Arabidopsis thaliana: one gene and its partners. The protein of the gene in region 1 interacts with the protein of each later gene in a pairwise test. Each region holds a gene or a part of one and is shown in the gene's direction. Other genes may lie near its edges.

Region 1 (6,309 bases):
AATCCACGCAAGCCAAGGTACATAACTCCCCACACTAAACGTCCCCAATAGTTTATTTAGTCTCTCCATTAACTCCTTAAAATCCGTTTCACCACCGTATTTCCGTCCCAAAGCAACTTTACATATCACATCGTTAGTTAAACTCACCAAGATCTTGCTTAGATTTACCGGCAAAGAAATCGATTTCCTGATCTTTTCCATCATCAGACTGATCTCTTCTTCTCTCACTTCTCGAAAGGATCGTACCATTTTGTTGCTGAATAGATGGAGGACGCACACACTTTTCATTTGCCTCCAGTACTCTCCATAAGGAGCTGAGGCCACATCATGCTTATCGTAAAGAAGTTTCTCGAAGATTTTTGACCGTGGCCGGCTTGCGAAAACACGGTCATGCGTCTTCAAAACGTCTCTAGCCAATTCAGCTGAAGATACTACAAGAACGGGGACACGGCCAAAGTGAAGAAGCATAAGAGGACCGTACCGGTGGCTGAGAGAGCATAGTGATCGGTGAGGGTGGCGGCCGAGTTGATGAAGGTTTCCGATCAACGGTAGTCCCGGTGGTGACGGAAGTGTGTTTCTTTTCTTCCCTCTCTTCTGTTTTCTGAAAATTATGATGGTAACTACAAAGATTATTGAGCATAACAGAAAGAACATGATCATCATGTCTGGATTCTTCAAGTACATCAAAACGTGTTCTTGTGAAGAGTTTTTATTTGTGGTTTTTTTGGACTTACATATACAAGCCAAGTTTCTTCACGGTAGTACTAGTACGTAATTACTGTCCACTCAATCTTTTGGACTTATGTATTTATGCATGCACCAGTCTTTTAATGTTTAGTTCTTCGAGATTTTTCCTTGTGAAAGTCATTTGGTGCGTTTACGATTTATGTCTTATTTTGGTCGTGTCACCGTTCTAGTCTTTCGGTGCTTCCACGATGTGTCTTACCACCATACAATACAAGTGCCTAGGATAATGGTCTCAGGCTGCCGTCAGCTCTAAGGATTTATATACTCTGGGCCCAATGGGCCTTACAAAAATTTGATGATCATTGTATATAATCGGTTTTTAAACGGCTGAACCGCCAATTCATACTCATCAAAAATACAACGACAACATTGTTCAACAAACAATTCTCCATGAAAATTTAAATGTCCTAATTCGTCTCAAACATTCTGTCTCCAATATGTAAAACATTTATATTTTGAGATATAAGTAGAAGTAATAGATTATAACAAATGATCATAACATTAGTGTAGTGATTTGTGTCAGTACAAGTTTCTATTTAAAGTGTAACAACATTGAATATTTATGTTTCACCAAAAACTATGACTATTATTCTATTAATCCTGAGAGAGAGAGCAAAACCCTTTAGTGAAAAGTTTCCTTAAGTTTAAAAGAACTGAAGCTGAAGTCCAAATTGTTGTTTACACACAGTAAAATCGAATTCGTTACCATGACAAGCGGGTTCAATGGCTAAACATTTTGTAATTTACCAAACCCATTATTCGATTTGTAGGATAGTCAATTATAGGGTTCTTAGTCAGCTAAAACAGTGACTTAAGAGTTAAGAAGGGGAAAAAAAAAGTCCGAATATTTTATATTCACAACACCATGAAGTTGACTGAATAAGCAAAATAATTGATTAGAGTAACATGACAATAAATGAGAAGAAAATCAAATAAAAAACCAGATCCATGGCGCGAAAAAAGCAACGACCCACACCTTTGCCACGTGGTCTTGTCCAGTGGATCTGAGTGTCCTAAATTCGAAGATGAGAAAGAGAGAGAGTGTACAACATTCTACAGTCGACACCATTATGATCAGCAGCTGGAAAAGCTTAAGCTTGGTTTTAATGGCACAAAATCTAAATAATCGATTTATACACAAAAAGACAGCTAAGTAATGATTATTATTATTATCAGAAACTGCTTCAAAACTTGTTCTTCCTTGACTAAATTTCTCTCTTCTCTCAAGAACTCCTATCATCTGTTTTGAATTGCAAGTAACCAAGAATGCGACAAGACGAGAATAACTCCGAGGAAGAATTCGTTGAGATTGATCCCACTGGTCGCTATGGCCGGGTCTGTTCTTCTTTACTTGATTTTAGTGTTACCTTTTTCTCAATTCTAATGTTTTTGTTTCTCATGTTTTCAGTATAAAGAAGTTCTAGGCAAAGGAGCTTTCAAAGAAGTGTATCCTTTTTCTTAGATCTCTGTTATTACTACAGAGACAAATCAGATTAGATTCGGACAAGACACAGTCACTAAAGGGTTTCTTTGATCAGAGAGTTCTTCAGATACAGAGCATTTGACCAACTTGAAGGAATCGAAGTGGCTTGGAACCAAGTTAAGTTAGATGATAAATTCTGTAGCTCAGAGGATTTAGATCGTCTTTACTCTGAAGTTCACTTACTCAAAACCCTTAAACACAAAAGCATCATCAAATTCTACACTTCTTGGATCGATCACCAACACATGACTATCAATCTCATCACCGAAGTCTTCACTTCCGGAAATCTTAGACAGTCAGATTCCTCTCTCAGAAGTCAAATCAAATCTTTTTTATTTGATCAATATTATTCATGTTTGACAAACCCTTATAGGTACCGGAAGAAACATAAGTGTGTTGATCTAAGAGCATTGAAGAAATGGTCAAGGCAGATCTTAGAAGGGCTTGTTTATCTACATAGCCATGATCCTCCTGTGATCCATAGAGATCTTAAATGTGATAACATTTTCATTAATGGGAACCAAGGTGAGGTCAAAATTGGAGATCTAGGGCTAGCCGCGATTCTGCACCGCGCTCGCTCTGCTCATAGCGTCATCGGTGAGATCTTTAATCTTGTTCTCAAACGAAAAAGTTTCTCCATTGTGAAACTATAATTTTGTGTTTGAAATTGTTTAAGGAACTCCTGAATTTATGGCGCCGGAACTCTATGAAGAGGACTATAATGTACTTGTCGATATCTACGCGTTTGGAATGTGTTTGCTTGAGCTGGTAACTTTTGAATACCCGTATTCCGAATGCACAAATGCTGCTCAGATTTATAGGAAAGTTACATCGGTAAGTGATCATATTCCCATCTCATATCCAATCAAGAATGACTTTTTCCATATTGTCGATCCATTTTTCTCAATGCTTCTTAGGGAATCAAACCAGCCGCTCTTTTAAATGTGACTGATCCGCAAGTGAGAGCATTCATAGAGAAGTGTATCGCAAAGGTCTCGCAACGCTTGTCAGCCAAGGAACTACTTGATGATCCTTTTCTGAAATGCTACAAGGAAAATACCGAAAACGTCAGCTCTCACAAAGGTAATATCAGATTATGGTATTTCATTTCATCTCAATATGAAGTGTCATGGACTCCTTTCTTAAAAGTTAAAATCAATAATAGTAACATAAGATAGTTTCTATATTTTTTCTATGTGAAATTTTCTAACACCAAGTTCAATAACATTGTCACAGAAAATGGTTACAACGGAAACGGAATCGTGGATAAACTCTCGGATTCTGAGGTAGGCTTATTAACCGTAGAAGGCCAACGTAAAGACCTCAACACAATCTTCCTAAAACTACGTATCACCGATTCCAAAGGTTCAAAATCTTTTTTGCTTTTTTTATTACAAATCTTCAGATCATTACTAAATCTTCTTTTGACACAATAATAACATTTTTTATACAGGTCAAATCCGCAATATCCACTTCCCATTTAACATAGAGACAGACACATCTTTCTCAGTCGCCATCGAAATGGTCGAAGAACTAGACTTAACCGATGATCAAGACATCTCAACGATAGCTAAAATGATCGACACAGAGATACATTCACACATCCCCGATTGGACCCCTTCTCGACTTATCGGTGATGATTCAGCGGTACAAAAATGTTTGTCTTCTCCAGAGACGCTCCATTTAGATAGATTTCCTTCAGGGAGAAAATTCTGGTCCTCTCCTAAAGCTGGAGCTGGAGACTCACGTTCACCGTTTGCGCCACGGTCTAATTCTAAGTTGTCGTCAGCACAAGGACCGATCAATCAAGAAGTTGGGGTTATAGTAGAGAAACTTGAGTCTTTGTTGAGGAAACAGAGAGAGGAGATTGAAGAGATGCAGAGAGATCAAGAACGTATTGTTACTGAGTTCTTAAAAGAGTTTCCTCCTGAGATTTGTGAAGAGGCTTTGGTGAGATTGCAAGTTAAAGATTCTGATAACTTATTGTGTTAGTACGTTTTTTACATTACACACTCTCGTCAAGATTAATTTGGTTTGCAATATTATGTTGTACTAAAGGTAAGTAAATGTGTAACAAAATTGTGACAGTTATGATTGAAGGAAAACTATTTGTCAAATAATATTTCTTGAATTAGTTAGGTGAAGACGTAACTAGCTCAGAAGAGTCTGGGAGAAGAAAAGAACGCGGTGATGATAGGTCACATCACTGTGTTCTTATTCACTTGATTCTTCTGAGCTAGCCTCGTCCTCTTCACCCAACTCTTATGAACCTTACTCGTCTTCACTGGACTCACTTGCAGAGACTCTAATAAGGTTGTCTTATGATCTATGCTCGCCTCTCATAATCTTAGAAGAAGATATAGAGCGGTTCATATTTTGTTCTCTCTCGCCTATTAGGTTTAATGGGTACTGGTGTTTCTTAAATAGCGTATGCCTCAAGATAATATATTAGGGTTTCATAGATAATAAACCTAATCACCAAAACATTTGGCATAAATGGGCTAAAAGCCCAAAATTTCATAAAACTACCTTAAAACATCTTTATAGGAAAGAAAGCGTTTCAGGGAGTAAGCAAATATAAGCATATGGCAGCGTCAAGGACTCAAGGGATCCAATCAAAACTACAAAGAGCAAATAAATAATCAAAACAAAAACTGAAATAAACTAAATTCTCATACTTGTTCAGGAATTGGTTTCTGATCCGTCGAAGCATGCACTCCCTTGCTCTGCCATGAAGAAAACATTTTTCCGATCAATTCTAGGGCACCGAGAAAAGCCCTCAATTTTCATAAGAACTAAAATCGAAAAGTAATTTAAGTTAAATTGTTCTTGTTGGTAAGCGATTCCGGGACTGGACCCAAATATCTGGCATAAATGGGCTTAAAAGCCCAAGCCAGAATAAACCAACTTGAAAATATCATATCACAGCATTAAAACGCAGCGTTTCAGGAGTTAAACCCCTAAATTTTCAGGAAAATTGCATTTTTGCTTAAACCCTATTATTGTCACTTTCTCTTCCTCTCCCTCTTCCTTATTCGAAAACACACAAAATCACAGTAGTAGCATCTGTAGCCATGTACAGATCAATGGCAATCCTGTCTTCTCTTCGACACGCGTACTCACAGATCTCTACTCGATCGTATCTAAGCCGATCTAAGGTGGGTTTTTCCTCAAACTTGTCTTCGCCTCTCGATTCATTTGCAATCGTCCCTAGTCGATTTCTTTGGAAATTTCGAACCTTTTCTTCGAAACCAGATTCTATGCTTCAATTAGTGCTTGAGAATGATTGGTCTAAGGAAGTAGAGGAAGGATTGAGGAAACCTGATATGTCTTTGACACACGAGACTGCAATTTACGTTCTGAGGAAATTGGAGAAGTATCCTGAAAAAGCTTATTACTTTCTCGATTGGGTTTTGAGAGATTCAGGGCTTAGTCCAAGTACTCCACTCTATAGCATTATGTTGAGGATTTTAGTGCAGCAGAGATCAATGAAACGGTTTTGGATGACTCTGAGGGAGATGAAACAAGGAGGGTTTTATTTAGACGAGGATACTTATAAGACTATTTATGGTGAGCTTAGTAAGGAGAAATCGAAAGCTGATGCTGTGGCTGTGGCTCATTTTTATGAGAGAATGCTTAAGGAGAACGCAATGTCTGTTGTTGCTGGAGAGGTTTCTGCTGTTGTTACTAAGGGGGATTGGAGTTGTGAGGTTGAGAGGGAATTGCAGGAGATGAAGCTCGTTTTGTCGGATAATTTTGTGATTAGGGTGTTGAAAGAACTAAGGGAACATCCTTTGAAAGCTTTGGCGTTTTTCCATTGGGTTGGTGGTGGTGGTAGTTCTTCTGGTTATCAACACAGTACTGTTACTTATAACGCAGCTTTGAGGGTTTTGGCTAGGCCTAACTCGGTTGCAGAGTTTTGGAGTGTTGTTGATGAAATGAAGACTGCAGGGTATGATATGGATCTTGACACTTATATAAAGGTTTCAAGGCAGTTTCAGAAATCTAGAATGATGGCTGAGACAGTTAAGCTTTATGAATATATGATGGATGGTCCGTTCAAACCATCTATTCAAGAT
Region 2 (5,298 bases), on another chromosome or scaffold:
GCTGCGTTTCCACTACTCATTCCTCTGTTTTTCATTTTCCCTTCACCAAAACAAAACCAAGAAACCACCAATACTCGTTTCCTCTCTTTTCGTCTCATCTTACTTTACATCTCTCTTGGTGTTCTTGTTGCTGCTCACAGCAAATTGTTTGCACTTGGGAAATTATACGCAAACTTTGGCGTCTTCACGCTGATTTCCGCGACTCAGTTGATATTTACCGCTATTTTCGCAGCCATTATTAACCGTTTTAAGTTCACCAGATGGATTATCTTATCGATAATCGGCAGCATTTTGATTTATGTTTTCGGTAGTCCTGAATTTGGAGGAGAGCCTGATGAAAACGAAGAATTCTACAGCATCCAAGCTTGGTTAACTTTCGCTGCTTCAGTTGCTTTCGCATTATCTCTCTGTTTATTCCAACTTTGTTTCGAGAAAGTGTTGGTAAAGACAAAGAGATATGGTAACAAGAAAGTGTTTAGAATGGTCATAGAGATGCAAATTTGTGTCTCTTTTGTCGCAACGGTTGTTTGTCTCGTGGGTTTGTTTGCGAGTGGCGAGAATAAGGAACTGCAAGGCGATAGCCACAGGTTTAAGAAAGGAGAAACGTATTACGTTTTGAGTTTGATCGGGTTGGCATTGTCGTGGCAGGTTTGGGCGGTCGGGCTGATGGGTTTGGTGCTTTATGTTTCGGGTGTGTTTGGCGATGTTGTTCATATGTGTACTTCACCACTTGTGGCTTTGTTTGTTGTGTTGGCATTTGATTTCATGGATGATGAGTTTAGTTGGCCTAGAATTGGTACTTTGATAGCAACAGTTGTGGCTTTAGGATCTTACTTCTACACTCTGCATAAGAGAAACAAGAAGAAGATGGTGGAGCTTTACCAAACAGAGAACAATATTGACGTTTAGTCTCTCATGTCAAATGTTTGTTTCTGTTTCAAAATATGTTGTTGTTCTTCTGAATGTTGTAAGTCAATGTCTAAAACATGTTGTATAGATCTGAAAACTATGGAACATATTTGTTAATTATTTTGATTTGATTTTTTTTTTGTATTTATCTCTTACAATATTTTGTTAATGAGGATTTGTCACTACAATTTATCTCTTACTTTCATCAACAAAGTATTGTAATAACTAATAAATAGATACAAAAAAATCTTTCTCACAGCTGGTTAACCTGGGTTCACAAGTCTTTTCCTATATATAGGCTATAATTTTTACGTTGTAAGAACAAAAACCCTTAGTTTCCTTCCTTTCCTCTAGAGATTTATTTATAACTCTCCTTGGATCTTCAACATGTCATGCCACATTGCCACTCAAGAGAGATATTTTTCACCCTTTTATCTTTTAGCTCTTATGTGTACTTGTTCTTGATTTGGTTCTAAGAGAAACTTTTGTGGTTCTTGAAGGAACCTGTTAGAGATGTAAACTATTTTATGAGATGATCTTATGTTTATGGAGATATATATAAGAGCTTTAAATGATCTTTATGTACTTTTGCTTATTTGATTAATGTTTTTCAATATGTGTTTTAGCATGACCATAAGTGAGTAGTCTAGTCTCTATCATGATTGACAGTTTATTAGGTTAACTTATGTTTAATACATGATTGTTAGGAATAAAATTATAGCCTAGTGATGTCCTCAAGGACCACAACTGATGAGTCGTTTTCAAAGTATACCAAATCTGATCTGTCTAAAGGATCGCATGGTTTTGTATAAGTTTTAGTAATATTTCTAATTATTATAAAGAATTTAATCACCACTAGCTAGTCATTGTTTAATGTGCCTCTCCTCAATCATTCTCAATAATTGGAAAATCTACAGGGAATGAAATTTACATATCTAAATCTTTAGAGATCCACCAGAGAAAACTCATGGAGATGACCGAAGCTTCCAAACATACAACAACACATGGTAACTTCACTGTCTTAACTTCTGTAAAAATTGTTTCTATTCTTATTGTCTTCTTAAAAATAAAAAATAAAAACTGAGAATTCCAAATTTTCTTTAACCAACAGAAGAATCAGAACATGTTCAGAATCCTGAACCAGACCAAGTCTTGAGCCAAAGACAACTGTTGCAGCTAAATCAAAAGAAATGGTGGATCTCTGTTCTAATATGTCTTTTCTTAGTCCTGCTTGGAGATTCTCTTGTCATACTTCTCTTGAACTTCTTCTATGTTCAAGACCGTCGAGAAGATAATAACCAAGATCTACAATACAAAGGAACATGGATGCAAGCTCTGATCCAAAACGCTGCTTTTCCAATCCTCATCCCTCTCTTCTTCATTTTCCCTTCACCAAAACCAAACCCTGAAACCATCAATACTCGCTTCCTCTCCATTCGTCTCATCTTGCTTTACTTCTCCCTTGGTGTTCTTGTTGCTGCTCACAGCAAATTGTATGCACTTGGGAAGTTATACTCAAGCTATGGCTTCTTCATGCTGATTTCAGGGTCCCAGTTGATCTTTACCTTGATTTTCACAGCTATCATTAACCGTTTCAAGTTTACTAGATGGATCATCATATCGATAGTTCTCATTCTTGTGAGCTATGCTTTTGGTGGTCCTGTATTTTCAGGAGAGCCTGATGAAAATGAACATTTCTACGGCATCCAAGCTTGGTTAACTTTCGCTGCTTCAGTTGCTTTCGCATTATCTCTCTGTTTAGTCCAACTTAGTTTCGAGAAACTGTTGGTGAAGACAAAGAGATATGGTAACAAGAAAGTGTTTAGAATGGTCTTAGAGATGCAAATATGTGTCTCTTCTGTCGCCTCGGTTGTTTGTCTAGTTGGTTTGTTTGCGAGTGGTGAGTATAAGGAGCTGAAAGGCGATAGCGAGAGGTTTAAGAAAGGAGAAACGTATTACGTTCTGAGTTTGGTCGGGTTGGCTTTGTCGTGGCAGGTTTGGGCGGTCGGGCTGATAGGTTTGGTGCTTTATGTTTCGAGTGTTTTTAGTAATATTGTTCATATGTGTGCTTCACCACTTATGGCTTTTATTGTTGTGTTGGCATTTGATTTTATCGATGATGATTTTAGTTGGCCTAGAATTGGTGCTTTGATAGGATCAGTATTGGCTTTAGGATCTTACTTCTACACTCTGCACAAAAGAAACAAGAAGAAGATGGTGGAATTTAACCAAAGTGAGAACAATGTAGAAGTTTAGTCTCTCATGTCAACTGTATATTTGTGTTTCTCAATCTGTTCTTGTTTCTTTTTCTGATTCTTGTAAGTCAATGTCCAAAATATGTTGTATAGATATGGATCAACTGTGTAATTTATTTGTTGATTGTTTTAGTTTGATTTTTTTTTCTCTGTTTTGCATTTATTTGTAATTTTAAATGTTTTAAGTCTGAAACTATAAAATTTATAACCTCCAAAATATTAATTTTATTTTGATCAAATTGTTTAACTTATATTTTGTTAACAATTAAAACAAAAGTTTCTATAAATTAATAAAATATCATGTTCCAACATTATTAATTTATAGAGGTTTTAATGTACGTTTAAATTAAGTAATTAACCTTGTGTAGCGGTGTATAATATATACAGTAATACCTTTCCGGGTTTTGACTAGTACCAACTCTGATCTGTCAAAAAGATTTCGTACGGTATAGTGGAAAGATCTTTTCTAATTGCAAGATAGAACTAGTCATTCCACAGAGAATGAAATCTGCATATTTAAGGGTGTTCAGACTTCAGAGGTACCAGAGAAAACTAATGGAGATGTCCAAAGCTTCCAAACAGACAACAAGACATGGTAATTATTTCAAATTCTTATCATAAGTTTTATAATATTGTTTCTGTACTCGAAAACAAAATAAAAACTAAATATTTTCTTTAACAACCAGAAGAATCAGAACACGTTCAGAATCCAGAACCAGACCAAATCTTGAGTCCAAGAAGATCGTTGGAGCTAAAACAAAGAAAATGGTGGATCTCTGTTTCTTTATGTCTTTTCTTAGTCTTACTCGGAGATTCTCTCGTCATGCTTCTCTTGAACTTCTTCTATGTCCAAATGAAGCAAGACCGTCGAGAAGAGTATGACCAAGATCTACAATATAAAGGAACATGGACGCAAGCTCTGATCCAAAACGCTGCGTTTCCTATTCTCATCCCTCTCTTTTTCATTTTCCCTAAACCAAAACAACACCTTGAAACCAACAATACTAGTTTCCTCTCCTTGCGTCTCTTCTTCCTTTACTTATCTCTTGGTGTTCTTGTTGCTGCTCACAGCAAATTGTTCGCACTCGGGAAATTAGTCTCAAACTATGGCATCTTCTCATTGATTTCCACAACACAGTTGATATTTACCGCTGTTTTAACAGCCATCATTAACCGTTTCAAGTTTACTAGATGGATCATCATATCGATATTACTCACTATTGTGATTTACGTTCTCGGTACTCCTGACTTTGGAGGACAGCCTCATGACGGCGAAGAATTCGGATACAACATCCAAGCTTGGTTAGCTTTCTCTGCTACAATTGCTTTCTCATTATCTCTTTGCTTAATCCAACTCGGGTTCGAGAAACTCCAAGTGAAGACCAAGAGATATGGTAACGAGAAAGTGTTTAGAATGGTCTTAGAGATGCAAATATGTGTCGCTTTTGTCGCCTCGGTTGTTTGTCTCGTGGGCTTGTTTGCGAGTGACGAGTATAAGGAACTGAAAGGCGATAGCAAGAGGTTTAAGAAAGGGGAAACGTATTACGTTCTGAGTTTGGTCGGGTTGGCTTTGTCGTGGCAGGTTTGGGCGGTCGGGATGATAGGTTTGGTGCATTATGTTTCGGGTCTTTTTGGTGATGTTGTTCATATGTGTGCTTCACCATTTGTGGCTTTGTTTGTTGTCTTGGCATTTGATTTTATGGATGATGTGTTTAGTTGGCCTAGAATTGGTGCTTTGATAGGAACAGTTTTGGCGTTAGGATCTTACTTCTACACTCTGCACAAGAGAAACAAGAAGAAGATGGCGGAACTTAACCAAAGTGAGAACAATGTTGAAGTTTAGTTTCTCATGTCAAGTGTTTGTCAATCTGTTCTTGTTATTCTGATTCTTGTAAGTCAATGTCCAAAATATGTTGTATAGATATGGATCAAACTATGTAATTTATTTATTAGTTGGTTTAGTTTGATTTTTTTCTTTTCTCTGTTTTGCATTTATTTGTTACAATACTTTGCTAGAGGAGTGAATCCCTATATATTTCTCAAGTAGACTTGATTGTTAACATCTATGGGGCATCGAGACACCAATAAAGCCACATCCCACTTGATGATATAAGCTGCACCAAGCTCTTATGCC
Region 3 (5,628 bases), on another chromosome or scaffold:
GTCATACGTAGCTCTTCCGGCACCATTTCCTTGCCGGAGAGAAGGCATTCGCTGGCCTTCCCACCTCTAATAAAGTATTGTCTCTCTTAGCTTAGTCGTTGTATCATAATTACTTATCAATTGTTCTGATACTTTGAACAATTGCTTGCTGGATCGAAGTTTTAGGTTAAATATTTATGATGATTCTTTATTTTTAGTAAGAACCGAGGTAGCTAACCTTGGGTTGCCATTACAACCATCACTACTGTATCGTTTCTCCAATTGAAGATATTCTGCTAAGTTCACATGTATAAGGCGACTAGAGCTAACTTTTGCTAGCTCGGTATTGAGGCTTACGACCAATATATGTATACAAGAGACACAGCTCCTATGTGTACAAGAAAACATGGCTAAGAAAATTTTCCAAACATCAACAAATTTTTTGATGTCGTCGAAACTTTATAGGAAAATTCTAATAAAATATATGTTGTCGGTAAACCGTGGAAATTAACAGATAAAAATTCATCGAATTGTGGTCCAAAATTTCATACTATGTTTTTATAGACAATACACGCACGCAAGAAAAAGCATGACCATGAAAAACAAAATCTTATGAAAAATGTTCTTCCAAATGCAACAGAAGTATCTTGACGCAATTGAAACTTAACCAAGCTAATCAAAAGATTCAAGAGTTGGACGGATATGTAGATGTGGCCTACTCTAGTTCCATGATGCAAAACATTCATCTCGATTTGGACTCGCCTTCTCAAAGAGAATATACCGGAAACAAAAATGTAGAGGCTACAAGAAAATATATGCATTCAAACAAAAATTTTTGACGGAAACTCATTAGAAATTTTCCTCAACAATTCGTCAGAAATTTTCTGTCAATGTCTGACCAAAAAAATCTGACCAATTTTCAACTAATATTTTTTACATCGGAAATTTGTCTGAAATTTATCTGCATTTTTCCGACCATGTTTTTTCTCGGAAGTACTCGTTGAAATTTGGGATATTTCCTTGTTGTAAATCGTTTGATTTTTAATTGATATTTTATGTTTTAAATAAATTATAAATTTGTTTAATAGATTATTAGGATTATGCATATATACTTTAATTGTAAATTTTAATTAATATACATTGTAAATAGTGGTCAGAAATTCTTCAAAATTTCTGGTCAAATTCTGACGACTTTATATTTATTACAATGACTTGTTTGTCGGAAGCAACTCAAAATTTACTGTCAATATTCTGACTATTTTTCACAAGAAAGATTGCTCGAGATATAATCGGTAATTTCCAACTAGAAGATAGTTAAAAAATTCTGACAAGGCCAGCCCTAATATATCTTTCATTGCCATATTTTATTAGAAAATTTTTGACAAAATTTCAACGATATTTTTATTATTGTTTTCATAAAAAGTAAAAATAAGAAACCATCCAGAATAATTTAAAGTAAATATAATTTAAATCAAAAGGCTTAATATTAAAATCCATAAAAGACAATATCAAATTGTCATCCAAAGTAAATATTGATTAGTAACAAATATATTAAAGAAAACAAAAGTAAGAGATTAGATAAATAAGGAATAAGAAACAAAAATTGGAACATACAGATATGACGAGAGTAATATTAGAGAGAATGAAAGAGTTTAATGTTTTATATTGGGGGTTTTTTCCCTCTTGTTTTACATTGGTTTGAATGAGACAAATGTCTACAGCTGTGCTTGGACGCAAGCTGATCAAGCACATAGTTGTGGCCCTCGATCAAATATCTATTTGAACGGCCAATTTTATTGGAAATCTCAAGTTACAGTTTCCCCATTTATTTATTTTCTCCCTAAAGTTAAGCTATTAGTCGGGCCAAAAAAAGAAATTCAGCGTGTGGCCTGTTAATATTCGGAGCTGTAGTTCAATATATAAAAAAGAAGTTCGAGCGACCTATTGCATCTTTAATTTGTAGGAAACAAAAACAACACTAAATTCAGATGATTTTGAAATTAAAAGAGCGACCGATTTTTTTTTATTTTTTTTTTGATGAATTTGGATATATTTGTCGGAAAAATGGTTGAGGTGTAAATATATAATTATGATGAATATGTTCAAATTCATCGAAAATTCGTCACAAATCTTTAAATCTATACTAAAAATTCACCGCATAAAACTAAATGTATATTAACACTGAGTGTCTTTGCGATTTCCGACTAATTTCTGAAGGATTTAGAACCATATTTAAATTGGGTCCAAAATATGAAGATAGATAAAATTGTGGTTTTTGATGAATTTCTGACGACTTTTGAAAACACATCTAAAATGAGATTTAAAGTATCTATTTTGAAAGAAAACATCAAATTACAACATAATTACCAAGAATTTCAAATAAAGAAATTGTGATATACAGTTTACAACATGTTTCCAACAAATTTTCGAAAAACAATTAATAACAAATTTCTAACAAAAGTACTTTCTTCTGAAATTGTTAGACTGATTCATCAAATATAAATTCTAATCGATTAATTGTCTAACCGATTATAAGAAGAAATAAAAGAATATCTCGAAAGTCTAATAACGAAACAAGTTTGAGAGACTATTTTTTTTTTCTTTTTTTGAGAGACCAAGTCTTCATTATGGAACATGGATAATTATTGAAATCCAGCTTGCTTTCTTATTTGTTGGGAAGACATCTTATTCTTAGTTGTCTGAATCATATCCATGTATTGTATAAGCGTGTTCGACGTTGTTTTCCCCGAATATAAAAATGCGAAGTTCGCAAGACTTGACCGTTGAGTTGACTGTCTCCATTACAACTTGTTCCTCTAAAGTAGGAACGAGACGTATAGGTAACTTTCTTTGAAAGTCTTTGTTGTTGTCCGAAAATTTGTTAGCAGTCAACTTACATCCAACTTTTTTGTTTGTTTATTTGGTTTTCGAAATTAACTTTCTAGTTAAAATCAGATTTTTTCACTGATCAGGTGTGATCAGTCTCATCCGTGTAAGATTTGTAATTTTTTTTGCTACATCATTAAAATCGACAAATCGATACACAATTCTTTACTATGATATTTATTACAAATCAACACAAAAAATAAATAAACAAACCGAATATTGCGTTTAAATTAACTTTAGTGTATATAATAGCTTTCCGGAAATAGCGTGGTTGAAAGTAGAAACTGTGTTTTATGTCCAAAACTGAATATGAGTCATTTTCAAAGTACCAAATCTTATCTGTCAAAGGATCACATGATTACGTATAAGTTTTAGTGATCTTTTTTAATTATCTAAAAGAAGTATATCGCCGCCAAGGTGGAACAAGTCATTGTTTGTTTAACGCGCACTTCTCCTCCTCAACCATTTATCAAAACTAGAAACCACTATATAAAAAAATCCACAGAGAATGAAATTTACATATTTTCAAATCTTTAAAAGTTGAGACCAGAAGAAGAAGAAAAAAAATCATGGAGATGACCGAAGCTTCCAAACAGACAACAGCAGAAGGATCAGCAAATCCAGAACCAGACCAAATCTTGAGTCCGAGAAGATCGTTGGAGCTAAAACAAAAGAAATGGTGGATCTCTGTTTCTTTATGTATTTTCTTAGTCTTGCTCGGAGATTCTCTAGTCATGCTTCTCTTGAACTTCTTCTATGTTCAAGACAATCGAGAAGATAGTGACCAAGATCTACAATACCGAGGAACATGGTTGCAAGCTCTGGTCCAAAACGCTGCGTTTCCACTACTCATTCCTCTGTTTTTCATTTTCCCTTCACCAAAACAAAACCAAGAAACCACCAATACTCGTTTCCTCTCTTTTCGTCTCATCTTACTTTACATCTCTCTTGGTGTTCTTGTTGCTGCTCACAGCAAATTGTTTGCACTTGGGAAATTATACGCAAACTTTGGCGTCTTCACGCTGATTTCCGCGACTCAGTTGATATTTACCGCTATTTTCGCAGCCATTATTAACCGTTTTAAGTTCACCAGATGGATTATCTTATCGATAATCGGCAGCATTTTGATTTATGTTTTCGGTAGTCCTGAATTTGGAGGAGAGCCTGATGAAAACGAAGAATTCTACAGCATCCAAGCTTGGTTAACTTTCGCTGCTTCAGTTGCTTTCGCATTATCTCTCTGTTTATTCCAACTTTGTTTCGAGAAAGTGTTGGTAAAGACAAAGAGATATGGTAACAAGAAAGTGTTTAGAATGGTCATAGAGATGCAAATTTGTGTCTCTTTTGTCGCAACGGTTGTTTGTCTCGTGGGTTTGTTTGCGAGTGGCGAGAATAAGGAACTGCAAGGCGATAGCCACAGGTTTAAGAAAGGAGAAACGTATTACGTTTTGAGTTTGATCGGGTTGGCATTGTCGTGGCAGGTTTGGGCGGTCGGGCTGATGGGTTTGGTGCTTTATGTTTCGGGTGTGTTTGGCGATGTTGTTCATATGTGTACTTCACCACTTGTGGCTTTGTTTGTTGTGTTGGCATTTGATTTCATGGATGATGAGTTTAGTTGGCCTAGAATTGGTACTTTGATAGCAACAGTTGTGGCTTTAGGATCTTACTTCTACACTCTGCATAAGAGAAACAAGAAGAAGATGGTGGAGCTTTACCAAACAGAGAACAATATTGACGTTTAGTCTCTCATGTCAAATGTTTGTTTCTGTTTCAAAATATGTTGTTGTTCTTCTGAATGTTGTAAGTCAATGTCTAAAACATGTTGTATAGATCTGAAAACTATGGAACATATTTGTTAATTATTTTGATTTGATTTTTTTTTTGTATTTATCTCTTACAATATTTTGTTAATGAGGATTTGTCACTACAATTTATCTCTTACTTTCATCAACAAAGTATTGTAATAACTAATAAATAGATACAAAAAAATCTTTCTCACAGCTGGTTAACCTGGGTTCACAAGTCTTTTCCTATATATAGGCTATAATTTTTACGTTGTAAGAACAAAAACCCTTAGTTTCCTTCCTTTCCTCTAGAGATTTATTTATAACTCTCCTTGGATCTTCAACATGTCATGCCACATTGCCACTCAAGAGAGATATTTTTCACCCTTTTATCTTTTAGCTCTTATGTGTACTTGTTCTTGATTTGGTTCTAAGAGAAACTTTTGTGGTTCTTGAAGGAACCTGTTAGAGATGTAAACTATTTTATGAGATGATCTTATGTTTATGGAGATATATATAAGAGCTTTAAATGATCTTTATGTACTTTTGCTTATTTGATTAATGTTTTTCAATATGTGTTTTAGCATGACCATAAGTGAGTAGTCTAGTCTCTATCATGATTGACAGTTTATTAGGTTAACTTATGTTTAATACATGATTGTTAGGAATAAAATTATAGCCTAGTGATGTCCTCAAGGACCACAACTGATGAGTCGTTTTCAAAGTATACCAAATCTGATCTGTCTAAAGGATCGCATGGTTTTGTATAAGTTTTAGTAATATTTCTAATTATTATAAAGAATTTAATCACCACTAGCTAGTCATTGTTTAATGTGCCTCTCCTCAATCATTCTCAATAATTGGAAAATCTACAGGGAATGAAATTTACATATCTAAATCTTTAGAGATCCACCAGAGAAAACTCATGGAGATGACCGAAGCTTCCAAACATACAACAACACATGGTAACTTCACTGTC
Region 4 (6,865 bases), on another chromosome or scaffold:
CACAGAAATTTGATGAATGCAATGTATCTTCTTTCTTCAGAATGTAAAGATTATGTATGAGAGTTCCTCTACCAATCGTCAAGTCCCGAGTATGGTCCTGAATATAACATGAATCATGATAGAAATGAGCTGAACATTTATTATGCATAAGTAAAGAACTAACACTGATGAGATTAAACTTGAATGTTGAAACATATAAAACATTATGCAAAGTCAATGTGGATGAAATATGCACTGTGCCTGTGTGACTAATGGGTACTCTAGTGCCATTTGGAAGTGAGACTGTAATACCAGTAACAGGAAAAGTCTCACTAAACATTGCCAAATCAGAACAAACATGACTACTAGCTCCACTGTCAACTATCCAAGCATCATGAGGCAAAATGGAATATAATGATGAAAGACAATGATGTTGAAATGTGAAAGAATGATTTTCATATCGTAAACTTGTTGAGGGAAATTCAATAGAAACATTACCAGCTGTAGAAGTAGTTGCCATAGCTCCATGATCAGTGATGGTAGCTGATGGAAAGGGAGTTGACTGCTCCGGAACATGAAGATGAGTATTGAGTTGTTGTATTAAAGAATGGACTTGATCCGTCGTAAAAAGACTGAGATCAAGACTTGATGCAGTCATTGCAGGAGGTGGAATATAAGGAGTAGATCCCATGACTGCATTAGCAACAGCATTATGTCATTTTTCATTCAAATCCGAAGAAGAGAAAGATACTCTTACAAATGTCTTTTTCTTGTGATAATTTTACGGGTGGGAAGATGGTTGACTTTGACTCATATCGTCCATATTCAAAGGTCTTGATAGTTTGAATTCGATGTTAATAGTATTTTATTCGTATAAACAATTAAATAAGAGTTGACAATGTTTAGACAAATTTGGATTATGAAGTAGTAACAATGATAAAATCTTGAGACTGGTCTCCAAATCCGACAGCTAGGAACCTCCCTTGGCATTCATAAGACAACGTACAATCAGGGACACGATACGGTCAACGGTCTCTATTAGCACTTAATTATCAGTATCAATTAAACTATCAATTGAGTAATATAATAGACGTTCAAATTTAATTTTAAACTTAACGGTCTAAATTTGTGGAGAACAAAATTTGGTAAAAATGAGAAGATAAAGAGGAAGAGGACACGTGGGTTGGTTCGTGGTTGATCGACAAGTACTCACGGGCTATATCTTTAACTTATCATCCTTTTATTCTTAACAAAAGAAATTTGGTGGAGATAAATTTAATCATGGTCATGGTTTTAGTAGCTACAAATGCAAATGTGATTTTCTTTTTTCGTCTGCGTTTGCAAGTTTGAAATTTTTGGTGCTGATGAAAAAAAGAAGAGATGATGTTTCACCATTTTTTTTTTTGTTTTTTGATCAAAGGATGTTTCACCAACATAAGAAAAGAAAACATGTCATGAAGGAGTTAGGACTAACAGTTTGAAAATACTTAAGAACTCAAATGTTAAAAAGGCTCATATTTTTTTCCCAAATTATGTCATCTCCTTCTATAATCTAAATCATTCGTGATTTAACATAAAACTAAATATTAAGTAACTTTATTCAAATCTATGAAATCGATTTACCATATACACGATTTTAAAAAGGATACAAGCGGAAATGAAACTGTGCATTGAAATATACGAACAAAAAGCCTGAGTTTACGAAATTTGACATTATCTCATCAACACGAAACTTCGACGTATTACAAAGACAAAAATCAAACCTACAAAAATAGAGAACAATAGTCAGTTACAGAATTTAAGTTTGCCACGAAAATGATACATCATTATGAAGTTTTTGTATGCCTAAACATTGATATCAGTTAATGTCTTCGACTGTAATAAAGAAATGCCTTGATTAACTCCGTAACTACGTCTTCTTTTGTCAGCAAATTCTAATTTATTACATGCTTAAGTTGATTTGATCCCATAACCAAACAACATATATATGGAATGTATATAAAAAAAATCTAAGCAATCTAAAAAAATTAATTATAATATATGCTATAAAAAAAATTATAGGAAACTTTGCTAAATGGCATAAACAGTTATTTTAATTAAGTATATGGAATTGTCAAAAAATTATCATTATTTTTTTAAAAATACATGATTGACTCTTTTTTTTTGTGTGCAAACAAATACATGATTGACAAAAAAAAAATACATGATTGATAAAGATATTTCTTTCAACATCTATGGATGAGAGGATCAGGAAATGTAGCATTATTTTACTTTTGAAAACTACATATATTATTGTTGTGAGCCTGTGAATTCTGTAATCTTCCAACATATTCGTCTACTAAAAAACTGACAACTCAATTCAGAACATATTTTTCTACTAAAAGGTGAAGTTAAAAACTCAATTTAAAAAAGATTTCGTACTTAATAGTCAAAGTTAAATTTGGTCCGAAATCTTTTTGAAGTATCAAAGACTGCAAAGGTATAACTGTCTTTTTGGAATAACTTTAAAAAAATTAACAAAAACAGTGAAACAAAATTTAAGAAAATCGAAGAAAAAAATGATAAAATAGCAAAAGTTTGTGACTTTCGTGGAAACTCCTTCCCCGTCCTCTCTGTCCTCTGATAAAGGCTTCACTTTCATCATTCAATCTCTTCTTCTTCTTTCTTCTTCATCACTCTCTCTCTTTCTCCAATTTCTTCATTTTATCAGCTTCCTCTCTTCTTTAGTTTCTGGGTCACTTTAGTTTCGCTCTTTCCGAGGAAAAACAAAACAAAGATTTGATTTTTCTTTTTGGTGGGTTTAAACAGTGATTTCTTCTTTTGCCCTTTTATTGGTTCTTATTGTTCTCCTCAAAAGTCTACAGGATTGTCGGAAGCAAACACACTTGTCCATGTTCGGTTTGATTTTTTACCTCAAACAAGTTTCTTCCTTTTTTTTTGCTGTTTAGTCGAATTGCGTTTTTGACACTGGAAAGTTTTGAAATTTGAGTTTGATTTTTACTGAAATCGAAATTGTTGAATTGAATTGAAGTTTGTTGAATCAGGGTTATGAATTTCCCTCTAATTGGTGAAGAAGACACATGAAGCAGTGAAATCTCTGTTTGTATTGAATCTTATTAGTCTCAAACTATGAATTTCCGACAAGAGAAGTTTGTAAGGTCAGTGTTCCAGATTTGTCTCATTGAATTCTAAGTCGTGAAGCTTAATTCGATTCTTCTTCACTTTCTCGGATCAGGTTTCAAGATTGGAAGTCGGATAAGACTTCCTCCGACGTGGAATATTCCGGTAAAAACGAGATTCAAACTGGAATATTCCAGAGAACAATAAGCTCAATCTCCGACAAGTTTTACAGAAGCTTTGAATCAAGCTCTGCAAGGATCAAACTATTCAAAAGATCTTACAAGTCTTACTCTTTTAAAGAAGCTGTTTCAAAAGGGATTGGTTCTACTCACAAAATTCTTGACCCACAAGGACCTTTTCTTCAGAGATGGAACAAGATCTTTGTTTTAGCTTGTATCATCGCTGTCTCGCTTGACCCTTTGTTCTTCTACGTGCCTATCATCGATGATGCTAAGAAATGTCTTGGTATTGACAAGAAAATGGAAATAACAGCAAGCGTTTTGCGCTCTTTCACTGATGTTTTTTATGTCCTTCACATCATTTTCCAGTTCCGTACTGGCTTTATCGCTCCTTCGTCTCGTGTTTTTGGGAGAGGTGTTCTTGTTGAGGACAAGCGAGAGATCGCTAAACGTTACTTGTCCTCACATTTCATAATTGACATTCTTGCTGTTCTTCCGCTTCCGCAGGTGATTCATTGATTGGTTTTGTTTGCATTTCCAAATCATTAGCTTGATTCTTTGAGTAATGTGAGTAATTGTGTTTTTCCTCAGATGGTGATTTTGATAATCATTCCACATATGAGAGGTTCATCGTCTTTGAACACGAAGAATATGTTGAAGTTTATTGTTTTCTTCCAATATATACCGAGGTTTATAAGAATATATCCGCTCTACAAGGAAGTTACAAGAACTTCAGGCATACTCACTGAGACAGCTTGGGCTGGAGCTGCTTTCAATCTCTTCCTCTACATGCTTGCTAGTCATGTGAGTGCCAAATTGGTTCTAACTGTCCCAACCTTTTTAGTTTCAGAGTTTAGATATATAATATTTTTGGTCAATACCTGTAAATGTGTAGGTGTTTGGTGCTTTCTGGTATTTGTTCTCAATCGAACGCGAAACGGTGTGCTGGAAACAAGCTTGTGAGAGGAATAACCCTCCGTGCATTTCGAAGTTGTTGTACTGTGACCCTGAAACTGCAGGAGGCAATGCTTTCCTCAATGAGTCTTGTCCGATTCAGACACCAAACACAACACTCTTCGACTTTGGGATATTCCTTGACGCACTTCAATCCGGTGTAGTGGAATCTCAAGATTTCCCTCAAAAGTTTTTTTACTGTTTCTGGTGGGGTCTGCAGAACCTCAGGTATTGAGAATTTATCAGCAAAATTTTCTCCGTTTCTTATGAAGAAAAGTTTCAACACTAAGTTCTTGCATCTTTGTTCTGTTTTCGTGATCCAGTTCGCTCGGTCAGAACCTTAAAACAAGTACATATATTTGGGAAATCTGTTTCGCGGTGTTCATTTCTATTGCGGGGCTGGTTTTGTTCTCCTTCTTGATTGGAAATATGCAGGTTAGTCTCATTTCATCTAATATGCCATAGTGTTTGCGAAATCGATTACTTACTGCTTTTCTTTTAAATGGCAGACGTATCTGCAATCCACTACCACGAGATTGGAGGAGATGAGGGTAAAGAGAAGAGACGCAGAACAATGGATGTCACACCGTTTGCTACCTGAGAACTTGAGAAAAAGAATCCGGCGATACGAGCAGTACAAATGGCAAGAGACAAGAGGTGTTGACGAAGAGAATCTTCTTAGTAATCTTCCCAAAGATCTTAGACGCGACATCAAACGTCATCTCTGTCTCGCCCTTCTCATGCGGGTAAAGAAGAAATCATCTCCTCTCTTTACTCGATTTCTCATTTATTGTCAACATCACTCGTAACCGCATCTTGTTTTTGTTGGTTCTAGGTCCCCATGTTTGAGAAAATGGACGAACAGCTTCTTGATGCGCTCTGTGACCGTTTGCAACCTGTGTTATACACAGAGGAAAGCTACATAGTAAGAGAAGGAGATCCGGTAGACGAAATGCTCTTCATAATGCGCGGGAAGCTTCTAACAATCACAACAAACGGTGGAAGAACCGGTTTTTTAAATTCCGAGTATCTTGGAGCCGGTGATTTCTGTGGTGAGGAGCTTTTAACCTGGGCTTTAGACCCACACTCATCCTCAAACCTCCCAATCTCAACAAGAACTGTTCGAGCTCTCATGGAAGTTGAAGCTTTCGCACTTAAAGCTGATGACCTCAAATTCGTGGCTTCCCAGTTCAGACGTCTTCACAGCAAACAGCTAAGACATACTTTCAGGTACTACTCACAACAATGGAAGACTTGGGCCGCTTGCTTCATACAAGCCGCTTGGAGAAGATACATTAAGAAGAAACTCGAAGAGTCTCTTAAAGAAGAAGAGAATCGGTTGCAGGATGCTTTGGCTAAAGAAGCTTGTGGAAGTTCCCCAAGCCTCGGTGCTACAATATACGCATCACGGTTTGCTGCAAATATCTTGCGCACAATACGTAGGAGCGGATCAGTAAGGAAACCAAGGATGCCGGAACGAATGCCACCTATGCTACTTCAGAAACCAGCAGAGCCAGATTTCAACAGTGATGATTAATTAATTAGCATATATGTATATGAAAGATTTTATTGCGAACCATAGAGCCAATATATAAATATAAGTCTTTTTATAAAGGAGTAAACTTAGAGATACAAAGCCTTCAATGATTTATTATTCCTCTTCAAGAGTTCTACAAAGTTTGATATGAGGGATATGGTAGAGCCAAACAGAAGTCAAGAAGCCAGAAGTGAAGCTACTTCTCTCCGCAGGAATGTGGGCAAAGCAAATGCGGCTCTGTGCATCTGTTTTAGTAAAAAGATAGATCAGGATTTTGCTTTAAGTTAATCTAAAACAGTAAATGAGGAAGTCATAGTTGTGTTAAACTTACATCAGAGTTATAGAACTTCAATTCTCTTTTATGGGTCATCGCACCGTCTAGTTTCTCAATAGGGTTGATTGGGTTCTTGAAGTCAACAGCTGGTCCTTCAGTAGAGCACAAGACGAAACCAATCACGCCGCTGCAATGAAGATATGTTGCTCAATTCATGTTTCTGATTTCAGTGAGATCACACAATGTAATCAGAAGAAAAGTAGAGTTAACCTTGGATATGTGGGGACGCTGCTCCACGCATAGTGAACACTTTTGAATGTTTGACGGCAAATGGAGATCATATCTTCAATAAGATGAGTATGGAGCCACATACTTTCTGCCATGTTACAAAGAACTCCCCCAGGCTTCAACGCTCTAGCCAGTGTCTCGAAGAAAGGCTTCTCAACAAGCGCAAGAGCAGGACCTATGATTATATAGAGTGAAAACGTGAGAGTTTGTAGCTGAAGTCTGAACCGAGTTTTGATTTAGAAAAACAAAATAAGAATCACTCAGATATCCAAAGAGTTTTGCAGATGAATCATACCTACGGGATCTGAAGAATCAACAATGATGGCATCATACTTCCCTTCAGGGGATTTACGGAGGAACTCAGCAGCTGCCAGAGGAAAGTGATATCAACACAAGCAAATTTTTGACTACGTTTTGTGAACAGAGAACAAGTAGAAGAATGCTTAATTACCATCACCAATGTGAAGTTGAACACGAGGATCGTCAAACCCAACCGCTAACTCGGGGAAGAACTTCTTAGACACCTACAAGACC

What was found.
Region 2: the proteins of WNK3 (region 1) and AT1G57980 interact in a protein complementation assay, tested with the Arabidopsis thaliana proteins (one large-scale study listed by BioGRID).
Region 3: the proteins of WNK3 (region 1) and PUP18 interact in a protein complementation assay, tested with the Arabidopsis thaliana proteins (one large-scale study listed by BioGRID).
Region 4: the proteins of WNK3 (region 1) and CNGC1 interact in a protein complementation assay, tested with the Arabidopsis thaliana proteins (one large-scale study listed by BioGRID).

The regions. Positions count from the first base shown.
Region 1 is NC_003074.8:17,870,925-17,877,233, reverse strand, and holds WNK3 (with no lysine (K) kinase 3), read left to right. Parts: upstream 1-1,703; 5' UTR 1,704-2,013; coding exon 2,014-2,082; intron 2,083-2,155; coding exon 2,156-2,193; exon of another isoform or gene 2,194-2,297; coding exon 2,298-2,525; intron 2,526-2,603; coding exon 2,604-2,827; intron 2,828-2,906; coding exon 2,907-3,064; intron 3,065-3,147; coding exon 3,148-3,313; intron 3,314-3,466; coding exon 3,467-3,595; intron 3,596-3,683; coding exon 3,684-4,222; 3' UTR 4,223-4,414; downstream 4,415-6,309. Other genes in the region: CYP71A26 (cytochrome P450, family 71, subfamily A, polypeptide 26), read right to left, coding at 1-663; BIR6 (Pentatricopeptide repeat (PPR) superfamily protein), read left to right, coding at 5,305-6,309. UniProt on the Arabidopsis thaliana protein: May regulate flowering time by modulating the photoperiod pathway.
Region 2 is NC_003070.9:21,437,311-21,442,608, reverse strand, and holds AT1G57980 (Nucleotide-sugar transporter family protein), read left to right. Parts: upstream 1-1,761; 5' UTR 1,762-1,876; coding exon 1,877-1,916; intron 1,917-2,020; coding exon 2,021-3,165; 3' UTR 3,166-3,403; downstream 3,404-5,298. Other genes in the region: PUP18 (purine permease 18), read left to right, coding at 1-909; PUP17 (purine permease 17), read left to right, coding at 3,720-3,759, 3,851-5,007.
Region 3 is NC_003070.9:21,440,679-21,446,306, reverse strand, and holds PUP18 (purine permease 18), read left to right. Parts: upstream 1-3,270; 5' UTR 3,271-3,434; coding exon 3,435-4,607; 3' UTR 4,608-5,128; downstream 5,129-5,628. Other genes in the region: AT1G58007 (multidrug resistance protein), read left to right, coding at 1-70; AT1G57980 (Nucleotide-sugar transporter family protein), read left to right, coding at 5,575-5,614.
Region 4 is NC_003076.8:21,536,734-21,543,598, reverse strand, and holds CNGC1 (cyclic nucleotide gated channel 1), read left to right. Parts: upstream 1-2,569; 5' UTR 2,570-2,877; intron 2,878-3,023; 5' UTR 3,024-3,108; coding exon 3,109-3,137; intron 3,138-3,214; coding exon 3,215-3,785; intron 3,786-3,869; coding exon 3,870-4,082; intron 4,083-4,173; coding exon 4,174-4,460; intron 4,461-4,555; coding exon 4,556-4,667; intron 4,668-4,741; coding exon 4,742-4,978; intron 4,979-5,067; coding exon 5,068-5,769; 3' UTR 5,770-5,878; downstream 5,879-6,865. Other genes in the region: SPDS3 (spermidine synthase 3), read right to left, coding at 5,946-6,014, 6,101-6,230, 6,314-6,506, 6,627-6,698, 6,783-6,855. UniProt on the Arabidopsis thaliana protein: Acts as a cyclic nucleotide-gated ion channel. Can be activated by cyclic AMP which leads to an opening of the cation channel. May be responsible for cAMP-induced calcium entry in cells and thus should be involved in the calcium signal transduction.